Linked DNA regions of Rattus norvegicus. The protein of the gene in region 3 purifies or fractionates together with the protein of the main gene of each other region. This does not show direct contact. Links are inferred from orthologs where the notes say so. Each region holds a gene or a part of one and is shown on either strand. Other genes may lie near its edges.

The links.
Region 1: the proteins of Arid1a (region 3) and Smarcd2 purify together in Homo sapiens (affinity purification with mass spectrometry; 7 studies listed by BioGRID and IntAct, with this or other methods). This does not show direct contact. The link is inferred for Rattus norvegicus from reciprocal best matches to the Homo sapiens genes ARID1A and SMARCD2.
Region 2: the proteins of Arid1a (region 3) and Bcl7c purify together in Homo sapiens (affinity purification with mass spectrometry; 5 studies listed by BioGRID and IntAct, counting the BioPlex papers as one, with this or other methods). This does not show direct contact. The link is inferred for Rattus norvegicus from reciprocal best matches to the Homo sapiens genes ARID1A and BCL7C.

Annotation. Positions count from the first base shown.
Region 1 is NC_086028.1:91,698,907-91,703,995, forward strand, and holds the start of Smarcd2 (SWI/SNF-related matrix-associated actin-dependent regulator of chromatin subfamily D member 2), read right to left. Parts: upstream 3,503-5,089; 5' UTR 3,418-3,502; coding exon 3,202-3,417; intron 1-3,201. UniProt on the Homo sapiens protein: Involved in transcriptional activation and repression of select genes by chromatin remodeling (alteration of DNA-nucleosome topology).
Region 2 is NC_086019.1:191,751,140-191,756,068, forward strand, and holds the start of Bcl7c (B-cell CLL/lymphoma 7 protein family member C), read right to left. Parts: upstream 3,503-4,929; 5' UTR 3,243-3,502; coding exon 3,151-3,242; intron 2,674-3,150; coding exon 2,595-2,673; intron 2,246-2,594; coding exon 2,137-2,245; intron 2,045-2,136; coding exon of another isoform or gene 2,042-2,044; coding exon 1,880-2,041; intron 578-1,879; coding exon 492-577; intron 1-491. UniProt on the Homo sapiens protein: May play an anti-apoptotic role.
Region 3 is NC_086023.1:151,262,102-151,267,298, forward strand, and holds the start of Arid1a (AT-rich interactive domain-containing protein 1A), read right to left. Parts: upstream 3,286-5,197; 5' UTR 2,912-3,285; coding exon 1,787-2,911; intron 1-1,786. UniProt on the Homo sapiens protein: Involved in transcriptional activation and repression of select genes by chromatin remodeling (alteration of DNA-nucleosome topology).

The DNA.
Region 1 (5,089 bases), on a different chromosome or scaffold from region 3:
AAAGGCCCACCCCCTAACCCCCACACCCAAGCATCCTGAAGATGAGTCTCTGCGACTTCTTTATCTGGCACTAAGGAGTCAGACTCATGACCAGTAGCAGAGGGAGGGGAAGAAACACGACCCAGAGACAAGGGAAAGGGGATAGGAGCAGAGCAAGGATACAGTGGCAATTGAGGAGTTAAAAGTGGGAGACCCTGGGACCTTGGGAGTCCTGCCACAAGTCTCTCCTCATCAGGAAGAAATTCATCAAAGCTGTTGAAAGGCAGAAGACAGCCTGTTTCTCTGCTCTAATAAGCCAGAGCCAGAGATTATAGAAGGGGGGAGGGGACAAAAGAAAAGCCTCAGGTGGCCGAAGCTCTAAGACCCCATCATCACCCAGACTTGAGGGTTCCCTAGAGTTACTGCAGATATATCTGAGGCGCTCTGGTCCCCCAAAAGCTCTCCACCAAGGTTCATAAAGCCTATAGCACTGCTGAGCCCTCCAGGAAATCCCCCCGCAAGGCAGCCCAGGCAGGCCTGGAATAGGCCCCACCCAGACATCTGTTCCCCACTTCTGGGGCTTGGGCTTCAGTCCCCTGGCTCACCCGCAGCCTCAGGGGAAGGCTGCTCACAATTCAAGTCCTAGTTTCTTCTTGTCGAGCTCTACACCTGGGCTTTGAAGAGCTGAGTAACTCCGACTTAAAAACAAAACAAAGTCACTGAAACAGAGTCTCAGCCTCTCGGCCAGCCTGCCCCACCACAGAGTACGAGGCCTGCTTAAGTCCCCAGGACTCCGGAATGCAGTAACTTCCACTTGGTCAAGCACCAAGCCCACCCTCTAGGCTAAATTTTATAACCACCAAGAAGATAAGGGAAGTAGGCTAGACCTCATCCTGCCAGCTCTGGGCTAAGAATCTAGGGCTCAAGTAAGCATGTTCTGCTCTCCAGAAAAGTCTGTAGCCGGGATCCTGCTAAGAGCTGCTTGAACCTCAGAGCCTCATTTGGAGGCCAGACCCTGGCCCTATGAACAGAGGGTACTTTAAACTCTGAGCTGAGTGAAGCCGGCAATAATGCACACTAGGCTTTCTGTTTTGGTTTTGATCGTGGTACTTTAAACCCTTCAGGCTGATTGTTCTCCAAAACTAGAAAAACCCTCTAGAGGTAAATGAGCTATCAATTTATGTCAGCAGCCTTCCCATGCCCAGCCTGAGCACACACATCCTTGCCCTTCCTGCTCACCCCCAAGAGCTCTAACCAGGAGGAGCCCCTTTGTCCTCAGACCCCAAGCCTTTCTGGAAGATGGACACCTGGAAGGGATGGGAAAAAGCAAGCAGGGTCTCCTTCAAACTCAACCCATGTTAATGGGGTTCTCCTTCCTCCTTTCCCTGTCCTTCAGAGGAGGAAGAGGAGGAGGGGAGGAAGACAAAGAGGAGGAGGAAGAGGTAACAAGATGCCAGACTCAAGGCCATCTCCTTTCTCACAACTAGTAGCCACAGCTATCCAGCTGGCCAGCCTGGCCTCAGCATAGGCCCAAGGTCACTCTCTACAAAGCATGCAGGAATCCATCTTCCCGTCTTCACAGGAACTTTCCCAAGGGTACTTCTCTGTCAGCTGCATGCCAAGGGGACTGGTCTACATAATTAGTTGCAGGACAGCCAGGGCTCAGAAAACTAACCAAACCAGATATCCCCAGTGTCTGTAGGAAGCTACCAGATCAGTTCTAAGCAAGCAAGACCAAGGGCTGGAATAACTGATGTCAGTACTCATCGGTGAGACACAAGGTCCATTAATCTCCAAAGAAAGCAACATGGGAAAGATAAACCCCAGAGAGTATCCTTGGGACCAAGTCTATCCCTGTTCATACCCAAACTCGTCATTTTCTTTTGAGATAGAAAGAGAAGCGAAGTGGGTCACTTATCCCAACCCTCAGTTAGGTATCTCCTCAGGAATCTGACTCCTGGGTATAATATGCATGCTCCATGAAGATCTATTTCTGAGACGTCTACCTGAGACACCAGCAGAGGACAGAGTAAGCTACACCTTCGGACCTTCGTGACTGCAGTCCCAGCACTTGAGAGGCAGAAAGAGTTCAAGGCCAGCTTTGGCTACACAGCCTAGACTATATGGGACCCTGTATCAAAAAGCAAGGACCAAAAGTGACAAGGATGTGGGAAAGGATGGACACAGTCCCAGGCACTCTGGGAAAGGTGCAGTTCACTGATAGCAATGATCTGCCTCGTGCAAAGCCTGCCCGGGGTTCCACCCGGTGCAGGCTCAGCACCGAAAGGAAAAGCAAAATGAAACTCCCAAATATCCCGGAGCAACTTGAACCAGAGCCCTGGGGTATGAGGAGGAGCCCCACATACAGAGTCCCGCTGGGTGAGTTCCCAGTGCACTGACCACAGGATCTTGTCTCTGCTTGTCAACGACCTTTGACGCAGCAACCTGAGACTGCTCTCTTCCCAGACAGAAGGGTCTTGAAGTACCCTATGCAACCCAAGACCAGCAGGACTCCACAAAGCCTCCCTGCTCCTCCAAACTTAACTACTGGACACTGACATCAGGAAGAATGCCCAGTACAGAGGATATCTAGATGGGTCTGTTAATGCGATCGGGCTTTCTTCAGACCTGGCCATCGCTATCTCTAATCTATCCTGGGAGTATCTGGGCTCCCTCCCTTTGGTCTCCCATTTCGTAGGAAGCCAGGCTTCAACTTGAGCAGCTGGGAGCCATCACAGATATACTAACTCTCTGCCAGTTCCCAACTAGGAAAAAAAACAAAAAACAAAACAGCCAAGGCAGAGATGCAGTGGGACCGACTCCAAAGAAAGAGTAGCCCTGTTTTCTCACTAACGACCCTCTTCCAAAATTTCCTCACCACATCCCGGGTCACTCCCTCACCTCTACTCCGGGACCTGCCTTACACTTTTCAACCTGATTGCCCACAATTCTCTAAATCCCACGAAGCCTCCATCTCTAAGTTACTCAATGCCAAGAACTCCCGGGACTCTTCTAACTGCTTAAGTCCTCCACCGCAAAGGGCTTTCACCCTTTCCCCAACATTGCCTCCAACCCCTAGCCACTAACCAAAGGACTCTGGCCTGCCTGCCACCAGCCCTCGACAGTTCCTCCTGCAGTGTCCCCTGGGCGGCCCGTCCTCACCTGAGGCCCCTGGGAGACCAACCCAGCGCCCTCGAGGCGCCGCCCGCCTGCCTTCCTCACCTGGTACTGCGCCGCGGGGCCCGCGGGGCCCATGGGGCGGAAGGCAGCGGCCCCCGGTACCCCCATGCCTCCAGAAGGCCCCGGGCCCCTGAGCGCCGGGTTGGGCAGCATTCCGGGTCCCGCAGGCGGAGGCGGCGCACCGAGGGCCGCGGCAACGGCGCCGCCGCCGGGGCTCAGCGGGGGCAGCGGGAACCCGCCCGCGCCACGGCCCGACATCACTCTGTCCCGTCCCGCGGTGCAGCGATCCGGCCTCTCGTCTCCGTGTTGAGTCCGCTCCGCGAGCTCTGTTCCGCGATCCGGGACTTTCCGATTTTATTACCGGGTTCCGGGATCTTCTATTCCAAGTTCGCAAGTTCTTCCCAGCCCAGCTTTAGGATCCGCAGCCCCTCTGACTCCGCTCCTGCCAGGGATACTCCAGATCCAGGATGTGCTGCAAGCCCGCAGGCCTCTCCCGGCCTCCGGAGGTTTGATCGCGGGAGTCCAGTTACCCAGAGGCGGTTACGAACTCCCAGCCCCGCCCAACCCAGGCCTCGGCAGGCCCCGCCCCTGCCCGGCAGCCCAATCGAGAGTGCGTCTTTAAATCCCGCCCTCGCGAGACCCGCCTCAAACAAGCACCGCCCATAACTGACGGCCTCAGAGCCCCGCCCTCTGGGACCGCCTTTTCCCGGAGGAGCGGGAGCGGAAGCTGCACGCGGAAGCGCTGAGAGAGGCGCGGGGTCAGAGTTCGAAGGTCACGTAGGGCCGTCACCATGGTTAGGTGTTTGCCGCTTACTCCGGAGGACTACTGTCTCAGCGAAATGTCCGACATAGCCCTCCAAAACAGTCAATTCCGCGTCTCCAGGCCTTAAAAATAAGCGATCCGGGGCTGGGGATTTAGCTCAGTGGTAGAGCGCTTACCTAGGAAGCGCAAGGCCCTGGGTTCGGTCCCCAGCTCCGAAAAAAAGAACCAAAAAAAAAAAAAAAAAAAATAAGCGATCCGCGGCGGAATGGCCGCCAAAAACTTTTTAAGAGCCTATCTCAGGGCCTGAGGAGCCAGGCCAGTAGTACAAGGCGTTCACCTTCCAGGACCCCACACCCACCCACCCATATTGATTGCTGAGCGCTTCCAAGGACATGGGCGACCCCAGATATGACCTAGCTGGGTTAAAGCTTGACTTGGTCCAGCTCAGAGTACTTACCGCACTAACTTTTCTGTGCCTTTAAGGAAGCCTGGTAATTTACTCCGCAGAAAATGTTTTTAGGTGAAGGGATTTCGCATGCTGAGAGAACTCCAGGTAGTGAAATAAGTTTTATCCAGTTTGTATAGGACCTAGTTTTTGAAAAGTTGAGAACCTTTTCAGAAACTCCTGGCTTCAGCTATGTTATAGACCTACCCCTCTGCTAATGTGGTACCTCCTCACTCACGGTATACAATCAGTGCTACTTAACTTCACTAGGCACTGAAAATCCTCAGAATCGGGTTGGGGGATGTAGCTCAGGTTATAGAGTGCTTGCCTAGCATACACAAAACCCCGGGCTTGAACCCCAGACTGCATAAACTGTCTGGTGGTACACGCCAAAAATCCCAGCACACAGGAGGAGGCAGGTGGGCCAGAAGTTCAGGGTCGTTCTCAGCTACACCTCCAGCCGATTCTACAGGAGACCCTATATCAAAAGAAATCTGAGCTTTTTGTTAAAATGTGGTTTATGATTCAATGAAATGGCAGGGTTCAAGATTCTGTATTTCTCTTTTGGTTCTTTGAGACAGGGTTTCTTTGTGTAGCCCTGGATGTCCTATAACTAGGTCTGTAGACCAGGCTGGCTTCAAACTCACAGAAATCCACCTGCCTCTGCCTCTGCCTCTGCCTCCCAAGTGCTGAGATTAAAGGCATGTGCCAACACTGCCTGG
Region 2 (4,929 bases), on a different chromosome or scaffold from region 3:
TAAGGCACCAAAAACAATTACACTCCTGTCTGGGGCGGGGGGGGGGGGGGGAAGGACCTGATTTTTTCTGAAAAGCAAATCAAGGTAGTCCTTGTAGGGGAAGGTAAGGCAATGTCTTAGGCTAAGTTTACAGCTCAGGATGTGTGTCTGTGCGATGCGGGGGACCCAGGCTCTTGCGCATGCTTAGGAAGTAAGTACCACCAAGCCGAATTCTGAGCCTAGGTTTTTTTTTTTTTTTTTTTTTTTTTTTTTTTAAGTCCTTAGGGGAGCACCAAGATCATTTCAGGCTTCTAGTGCTCTTCTATCAGCCATGATCAGCCCTCAGGGTGGTGTCTGCAATCCTCTCCTTCACCCAAGAATCCAACCTCCAGCTAAGCCTTCTGTGGGCTCTAGGTCCACGTCTCCCTCCTGGAGCCTAGAATGAAGTCTCCCTGCTTCCCCAAAGCCTCCAGTCCCCACAAGGCCAGAGTCCGGACTCTGGCCTCTCTCACCTCGGCTTCTAGCAATTCTGGAACAGGCTCCTCCTTGGTCAGCTTTGGGGGTTCATCAGTACCTCCTGCAGGTGTGCCCCCTGGATCTGTAACACCAAACAAAGAGACACTTCCTGAGCAGCTACTCTGTGCTGAGAGAGTGGACCAGGGGCAAAGGAAACAGACAGGCACTGGTCACACATGATGACATTGTGGGGGCAGAGGGGTACCAAGTTGCTGAGGAAGGAAGACTCAAGTTGGATCTTGTCAGTAGGGAATGAGCCAGGAGGCAAACGGAGGTAGAGTAGAATTTAGGCAGATAGAAATATGTGCTTAGTGACCACAGACTCTCAGTCATCCGCAGAATGGAAATAGTGACAGTAACACCATGAGAGGCTGCTGTGTGGATCAAGTACACGGCACATAGTATGTGCTCAAGAAGTGCCAGCTAGCAGTTTCATTCATTCATTCATTTCTGTGGTACTAGAGATGGGGCTTAGGACCTTAGGCATGACAGACAAGCACCTGCACTGGGCTGCATGCCCTGCCCCATCATTTCATATTAGCGAAAGTATTTGGGACAACCTAGGTGTGGTCCCAAGCCCCATGTCATGGTGTTCTTGACAGGGGAACAATTTCAGTAGCAACAGTTTATAAAGGCCTCTGGTTCAAACGAAGGAATCAAAGGCCACGGGAGCCAACGAAGGACACAAAGCAGGAAAATGGCCGATTGGAATCTGCTCTAAGAAAGCTGTAGCATGTGGAGGCGAGAGCCAGTGCAAGTGAGAAGTGAGAAGGGAGCGCCAAAGGCACGGGAGTCAGCCATGCCTGGGAAGGGGGGGTGGACTACAGGAAGGCCGAGGAGCTGGCGCACTGGCTCTGCAAGTCTGGGCATCTTTCTCTGGATGTTGGGCTCCTCGTGTATAAATAGGAATCATCATAGGATCATTGGTTCCATAAAATGTCAGTGAGGGTTAAATGAGAAAACAAACCACAAAACATTGAAGTGCTCAGAAGAATGACTAACAGATAAGTGGTTCTGTCAGCTGTTAATCTACGGTTACTAATCCCTAGGGTTATCAGAATTATTTAGTTGCCGAACATCTATTATGCGTCCCACATGAACCAGATCAGTGTGTCTGACATGAGATGGTAACAGAGAGGCAATAAGCAAGCAAAAAGTACATTTACATAAAGTTTTCAGATGGCGACACGCTCCCTACAAATCCAAGATGCCAAGGAATGAGCCAGGCACAGCCAGAGGTAATTTCTGCCAGGGTCAGGAAAGGTTCCCTGAGGGAGGCAGGACGGGGGAGGGGGGGGGGGACACAACACAATATAGAAACACATACAAGGCGGTAGGTTCAACTCTGGTGAGGAGAGGACTCCCAAGAGCCACATGGTCCTACCTCTCTCTTGGCCCAGTTGTGGGGGCTGAGTATCTTCTGTAATCACCTCTGGAGGTCCAGTTGGTGATCCAGGGCGACTGGGCTGGGGCGTCCCCCCAGGGCTGGGCTCCGTGCCCTTTTGCAGTGAACCTTCGGAATGGAAACTCTGATTGCTGTTCTCATCTGCTGAAGCAAAAGTCAAGTTAGTTGGCCAGAGGACCCCAGTGGCTTCTTTCAGCACCCAGCCCCCCCACCCCTATTCCAGAATCTCTACATACCATTGAGATCCAGCAGGATGAGGGGGCCACCCCCTCTGGGACTGGTGCCCCTACCACGCCTCTCCCGGCCACGAGATCTCTCTGCCCCTCCTCCTGCCCGCCGCCTCTCCTGAGGGTTAGAGAAGTAAGATCAGAGCTAGTTTGTCCAGGGAGCTCTTACAAAGTCCTTCAATTCAAATAAGGAAACCTAGGCTCAGAGAAGCAAAAGGTGCTGCCTCAGGTTGTGTAGGCCGAGTTAGGTCTTGAACTTGGAGAAAGTGTGTGTGTGTGTGTGTGTGTGTTTGTGTGTGCGCGCGCGCGCGCGCGCGCGCTTCCGTGCTCATGCCCCCTAATAATCGTTACCATCTGCCTGGGCTCCACAGTGGAGTCTCCAAGCCGACTGAAGGTGGAGGCCAAGGGGAGGGAAATTGCTTGAGGTTGCACAGATGCAAGGCATGTTGGGGGTTGGGCTTGCTCACCTCCTCCTGGGGATCCACCACAGGCACCCACTTGAAGATTCGAAGGGAAGTGTCACCCACAGTCACCCAGCGCTTCTCCCTGTGGGAGGTCAGGAGACTGGGTCAGGGAGGCCCAAGGGTGAGCCCCACAGACTGGAGGTCAGGGAGGTGTGCTAGGGTACGGACAGCTTCGTTTACACGGCATAGAAGCAGAAAGAGCCCTCTAAACCCCAGGGCAAAGCATAAACGGATATAACTTGGAGCTGCGGTTTTGCAGACACCTGGGGCACTCAGCAGGGCGCCACCAAGGCCTGCCCAGGCACTCAGGCAATGAAGACCCCGGGCCAAGCTTGCGAGAGTGTCAAAAGCTTCAGGGGGCGGGGCATAGATGAGGGCTCCCGCTCAGGGAAAGCACCACTCCGGACCACGCTTTGTAGACCTCTGGGAATTGCCAAGGAAAGGGGGCGCCCTGTCGATTTAGATCACAGCTGGTGGGCGGGGGCAGCGGGCCAGGAAAGGGCGGACGCGTTTGGAGGAGGTGGCTTGGCTGTATCCCTGACCCGGGGGCAGCGCTCACCATCTCCGGACCTTCTCGATGGTCGCCATCACCTTTTTGATGTCATCTTTGGCCCGGCTCCGGGTCTCGGCCCGCACGGTCCGGCCGGCCATGCTGGCGGGGCTAGGGCCGGGACAGAGCCCGTGGTGGGGCGGCCTGCGGTCCGGCGATCTCAGGCTGCGCGCCAGGCCCCGGCGCCGCTCTTTCGGCCTGCCGTCCCTCCGGGAGTTGGCCGCGCCCTCCCTCGCTCCCCAACGCCTCCGCGCGTCCCCGCCTGGCTTCCTGAGACCGCGCCCCGCCCCGGCCCGTCCCCGGAGCGGCCCGGGCGGCGCGGGCGGCTAGAGCCCCGGCCTGGAAGCCCGGCCAGCTCCGCCCCGGCCCGGGCCCGCCCCTCGGGGCGCACGGACGCACAGCGCCCTCTGCCCGCCGCGGAGAGGGAGAGCTGGGGGGCAGCGGTGCGGCTGGACGCGCGCGGCCCGAACGAGGCGGTGCGTTCCGGCCACGTGGGCACAGGGGTGCGCGAGAGGGACTGTCCTGGTGTGCGTCCGCGGCGGGTGGGCGTCCCTGAAATGCTCTGTGTGCGCGCGTCTGCCCTCTCCAGGCTGTTTGATTCTAAGCTGCCCAACTTAACTTGTTCATTCATTCATTCATTCATTCATTCATTCATTCATTCATTCATACATTCATTCATTCATTCATTCATTCATTGAACAGTTCCATTAACAGCGCCTAGTACAAGCCAGACTCTGCGAGTGGAGAGCCGGCCTCCTCAATCAGAATGGCGGGAGTGAAAAAGACCATGTAGATGAAGTAGCAGAGGAGCAACTTGCCATTCCTTGAATCAGGGTGTGTAATTGGTAGAGATAGTTTGGAAAACTGGCAGTCTTCCATTGAAAAACTTATGCCAACCCCGTCTTCCAACAGTTTCCACTCCCAAACTAGCAACACTCAACAGAAGGAATATGTGCTGCCTCTTTTTTGTCAACTCGTCACAAGCTAGGGTTATCTGGAATGAGGGAACCTTGATGGAGAAAACGCCTCCATCATGTTGCCCTGCAGGTAAGTCTATGGGGCATTTTCTTTTTTTTTTTTTTTTTTTTCTTTTTTTTCTTTTTTTCGGAGCTGGGGACTGAACCCAGGGCCTTGCGCTCGCTAGGCAAGCGCTCTACCACTGAGCTAAATCCCCAACCCCGGGCATTTTCTTGATAATAGTTGTTGTGGGAGAGCCAGACCACTGTAGGCAGTGCCACCTCCGGGCACTTTAAGAAAGCAGACTGAACAAGCCTTGGGGAGCAAGTGAGTAAGCAAAGTTCGTCCAAGGTTTTGCTTCAGTTCTGGCCTCCTTCAGTTCCTGCTTTAAGTTCCTGCCCTGACTTCATAACAGACTATAACTGCAAGCTGAAATAGATGCGGTGTTTATCACAGCAATAGAAACCTCACTAGGACGAAATGTGTCTGTATGAACACCAAGATATGTATACTGGGAAGTTCGGTACTCTTCATAATAGCACCAACCTGGGAGCCACTCAACAGAATGGAATGGAAAACCAGTTACAACCTGTTTATACCATGAGCACAGACAAAACAACCAGAAAAACCAAAGTCCTGCTATGTGCAATGGTGGGGATGGGTCTGCAACAAAAGAAGCCAGATGTGACAACATGCATTAGATAATTCTACATCTAAGTTCAGAACACAAGTACATTCATGGTGTTTTCCGGGAGCTTGTCACACTTGTCTTTAGTCTGTCAAGATGGACATTTATTACTTGTAATTTTTCTTGTGTGTATTATAGTTCAG
Region 3 (5,197 bases):
TGAGGGGGCTTCTCCCCTCCTTGAACAGATGACTCCAGAGGGAGCCAGATATTCCCGGGGAAAGCACCCAGGGAAAGCAAAGGAAAACAAAACAAAATGTATAAAAAGGACCGAAAAGAGGCAGCCATGTGTCACTACTGTGGGTCACCTTTACACCTTAGAAGACAGAAGGGAGAAAGTTATACAACTTAAAATATAAAGAAAAATGTTGGCACGTCTCTATTTTAAAGCTCTAAAGTAACTGACGACAAAACAAATATTCCAGAAACAAGTCAGAAATATCCTAAACCCAGCCCTTAGGAGAAAATCTCTCCCTAGACCACAAGGCCATCAGCATCTCCTTCAATTGAGCTGTTCTCCCAAAGTTCAATTAACAAAAGGAAACGTTCACAAGATTCAACATGTAAACAAAGAGACAAGCCTTGCAGGACTCTTGAACCCACTATGAAATTGTCAGAAGGCTCCCAGCTCTCAGCAAAATATTAACAAAACCATCTTCTCCCCCTACAGATCTCACATTTGCCTTTTAATTTAAAAAAAAAAAAGCCAGTAAAATAATTTCAGTTCTGTAGCTGAACACAGTGTCAAAAACTACTCGAGACAAATGTATCTTCAGAGCTATCAAAGAACTCATTTATACCATCAGGAAAGTCACAAAACGAAAACAAACAGCAAACCCATTGTAGAGGAAAAACTCAGCTACTGTTCCAGCAACACAGAATCTATTTCAGACTGCATAAAACATAACAAGCAAAATAAATCCAAGGTGCAAGCAAAATGCCATCGCCTCCTCTTTTGTTTCAGGCACAATGTAACAAGGGCAGCCTGTCTGGGACTCTGCTCCTGCTGATACAGTATTGCTGCTTAAACCTCCCTCCTCAAGGTCACAGCCAATTTCAGCTCTGGAATAAAAGGCGGATAGTGGTGGCATCGATGGTTTGGGTTATCACTGGCAGAAAAGCAGAGTGTAAAAGTTTATGAGCTCATCAGGATTGTTGTACCATTACATCAGAGGCAATTATAAATGGCCAAGAGCAGAAGATGGGGAGCCAATCAGATCACAGATAGGATGTCAACCTAAGACCAACTGTCTCCTGGCTTTGACAGAAGGATTTTACCTCCATAATTCAAATCCCAAACCAAAGCAATCTGCACTTACTACTCCAATCACTCAGCTGTTTACCAGCACTTCCAGAGAGAAGCCCAGGCCACTGGGCCGGCGGAGACTAAGGAAAGAGGTGGCCCGGGCGGCCCAGAGCGAACCACAGTCGGCCTCAAGCTGCCCCCAAGCAGGCCCCAGCTCTCCCCCGAGGTCCCCCGAGCCCTAGGGGCCACTCTTTAAAAGCATATATTGGGGAACTGCCTAGAGGAAGGCAAGGGGGACAGAGGAACGGCAGGTGAGCAAGAAAATGTTGCTTCTTTCTCCCGGGTTCCTGACACTGCCTACACCCCTAACCTGAACCCCCAGCACCCCCTCACTCGGGCCTGGCCCTTCCAGGCACACTTTGCTCTGCACCCCCCTGGAGACCCCCAGAGTTCGAAAGGACCAGCGGAGGAGGAGAAACCGGACAGACACCTCTGGAAAAGCCCCACACAAAGGCTGATCGAGGGAAGGAGAGGAAGGCAGACAGGCAGCCATTTTAAGAGAGAAGAGCCAGACAATGGCAGCTCCCCGGCAGTGGGGGCCCAAGCCTGAGGGGAGCCCACGGCCGGGGCCTGCTCCCCACAGCCGCCACCCACCCCCCTGCCCCGCTCGCCCCAGCCCCCTCCCCACTCAGCTGTGTACCTGAGGGGTCCGGGCGAGCGGCTGCCCCCCGCCGCCGCTGCTCCCGGGGCTCATGGGCGCGTGGTGGCTCCTTTGTTGGGCCCCTCCCGAGGCGGCCGCTGCCGCCGCCGCCGCAGCAGCAGCCCCCCAGCACTGCGAGGCCATGTCCGCCGGGCCCTTGCCCGCGCCCCCGTCCTGGGGCCCGCCGCCGTAGTCGCCCCCGGGGTAGCCCTGGTAGCCCCGGGCCGAGCTGGGCGACGTGAGCAGTTGGTTGAGGGTGGGGGTGGCGGTGGGCTGGGGAGTTCCCCCGCCGGCCGCTGAGGGGCCGCCTCCCCCCATGGCCCCGAAGCGCTGCGGAGCGAAGGACGAAGACGACGAGGAGGCAGAGGCGCTGGAGGAGGGAGGCGGCTTGGAGCCCGCGGCCGCCGCGCCGGAGCCCGGAGTGCCACCTCTCGGGGAGCTCAGCGCGTAGGCCTGGGGAGGCGGGGGGTAGGCGCTGCGGTTGGGGTAGTAGGAGTTGTACTGGTGGTTGGGGAAGCCGTGGTCGTGCGAGTTCTGCTGGGGCCCGGCGTAGGGCTCCAGGCCCCCGCCACCGCCGCTCTGCAGCGCTGCCAGGCCAGGGCTTTGTTGTCCGCCATGTTGTTGGTGGAAGACGGCGGCCGCCGCGGCGGCGACGGCAGACGGGCTCCGGCCGTAGGGTTGCCCGAAGCCGTAGGCTGGGGGCGGCAGGGCGGCCGCGGCTGAGTGAGGAGGCGCCCCCACCCCGTCGCTGCTGCCGCCGCCGCCGCCGGGCGGCTCCGTGAGGTTATTGTTCAGGGCGGGCCTAGGGCCCGCGTTCCCGTTCGAGTTCTTCAGGTCCGGCTCCGCGCCGGGCCCGCCGCCGCTGCCGGCTCCGCCGCCGCCGCCACCCCCATTGCTCTCGGCCCCGTCCTGCAGCTCCTTTCCCAGCGGCTGCGGCGGCCCCACAGCGGGGCCCTCGCTTTCCTGCCCGGCGGCTGCCTTCATTTCCCCGCGCTCGGCCGCTGCCGCCGCCGCCTCGCCCCCCGCCTCCTCCCGCTGTTGCTGCTCGGCTTTCTTCAGCTCCGAGGGCGGCGGCGGCGGGTTGCCCAGGCTGCTGGCGGCGGCGGGGGCGACCTGCGCGGCCATGATCCCCGCTGTCTCGTCCGCGGAGAGACCCGGCCCTGTCTTCGTCTTCTCCCCCCTCCCACCCCGCCCCGGGGCCGAGTCCCCCGGGCTGCCCTCCCCACCCGCCCGGGCGGGCCTCGCGGGGCTCCGCTGCTGCGCTGCGCTCGCTCCTCTCCCCCCCGCCCCGCCGGCTCAGGCTCCGGGCTGGCGGCGGAGGAGGAGGAGGAGGCGGCGGCGGCAGCCGAGGCGCCGGCGGCTCAGCTGCTCCCGGCTCTGTCGGCTCGGGACCCGGCTCTCCCGGCTCATTCCCCCCAAGCCCTTGCCTGGGAATGAGGGGGGCGGTGGAGGCTCCGCTCCCCAGGGCCTGGCCCCGCTGTGACTCTCCGCTTTCTGCTGCCGGAGAAAGGAGGAGGGAGGGAGGGAGGGAGGCGAGGGGGAGGGGGCGGGAAAGGAGGGAGGGAGCGGGGGGGAGGGGGGACCCGGGACGGGCGGGCTGGAGGGCGCGCGGCGGCGGACGGGGCGCCGGGAGGCAGAGTAGGAGCGCTGCTCCGGCGGGCGCCCTGCCTCGCCTCCCCGGCCGCGGCTCGGGCCGAGGCTGCTGCGCGGCGGCGGCAGGCGAGCGAACGAGCGGGCGGGCGGGCGGGCGGGCGGGCGGCGGGACTGAGCAGCTAGAGCGCCCCACTCTCCTCCGAGTCCCCCTCACTCCGACACGAGGCTCAGCACTGCCATTTTACCCAGCGCCGTCGCGGCCGCCTGAAAAACCCGGAGTGGAGCGCGGAGCGGGCGCAGGCCGTGGAATGGACTCGCTCCCTTCCCCTCACAAAGGAGGAGGGGAGAGAACGAGCCGCGGCGGCGGCAAGCCCTCAGCCTCTTTCGCTCGGCAGCGCCGCCGCCGAAGGCTTCGGGGAAAACCCGGCCCGGAGCCCGCGCCTCCGGAGCCTGCGCCGCCTCTCTCGCGGCGTTCCCATCCTGGCCTGTCCCCTCCTGGCCGATCTGAAGGGAGCGGGCCGCGTGAACTTTACCCGCGCCTGCAAAATTGGCCTGAGCCCGAAACCGCGGCCGCAGCGGCCGGGACCTGACCCCCTGGCACAGGGCCTGGTCTCTTGGCTGCGACTTAGCACCTCCGCAGCACTTTTCTTCTTCAAAGCCTTTTGCAGACCTGCTCTTGAGACCCAGCTGAGTGAGCCCTGCTTTTTGCCCCCTTTGGCTAGCCCCAAAGGAGGACTGACCATTGTTCAAACTATCGGTTCTCCATGCCCTGCCCTCATTAGCCCTCCCTGACAAGGCCTTGGGGGCATGAGGTCTGGATTATCCCCCATTTTACCAACAGACAGAAGAGAGAGAGGACTGCCCAGGTCACTTAAAGTCAGAGGGCAGAAGAGTGTAGCTATAAAAAGTGGAGTCGCCAAAGCTGCATCTTGTCTACTTAGCCTGAGAAAAGGAGGAAAGGAGAAAAGAGAGGCACTTACGTTGTGAACAAATCCAACAACAGGATCAGTGTCAGGAGGTTTGAAATCGAACGTGGTCATCCCACCACTTCTCTTAAAATGGTGGCTACTGATGCTTTGGGGGCTTAAGACAGTCCTCCAGGCAAACCAAGCTCCATTAGCACTTCCTAAGGGAACCTAGCTCACAATGGCCAGTAGCCCCAATCTCCAAAAGTACCTTGAAGATGTAAACAAGCCCACAGAAAAGGCTCCAGGGACTGGAAGAACCTCAGTGTTCAAAAACCACTGCAAAAGAGGGATGCAGAAAATGGAAACCATTTCCTCTTTAAAGAGAGAAAAAGCAGAGCCTAATAGGTCACACAAAACGGATGCCCCTCAGATCTGCTGTCTCTCCTAAGGTGTAAGACTCCTTGAAGTTTACCAGAGACCCTAAGGCCAGGTTTATCTGAGAAGATCAAGGCATTCACGGAAAAGCTCAGTTACCCAGATCTACAGGCCTTGCCAAACCCCACAGCAGCCTTTTCTTCTGTCAGGCTTGGAATGCTTTCACAGGGCAAGCTAGGAAAAACCAGAGGGAATTCCAGCTTCTCACCAGGACCAAGACTGCCTTGGAAAAGCATCAATGACAAAGGCCTCTTTTCCTCCCAGATTTTATAAATGGAGATTTCGGGCCACAGATCATTATTTTAGAACTTGTGGGTTCTGCAGGCCCCTGGAGTTCTGACCATGTCATGGGTCAACATAAATAATTCTGAAAGGCTAAGTCATTTCTACTACCCCCAAGACATCCCATACTACAAACCCTCGTAGTAAACTGCGAATGGAGAGATGGCCAGAGCCTCTCTGCTCTCCCATCCCC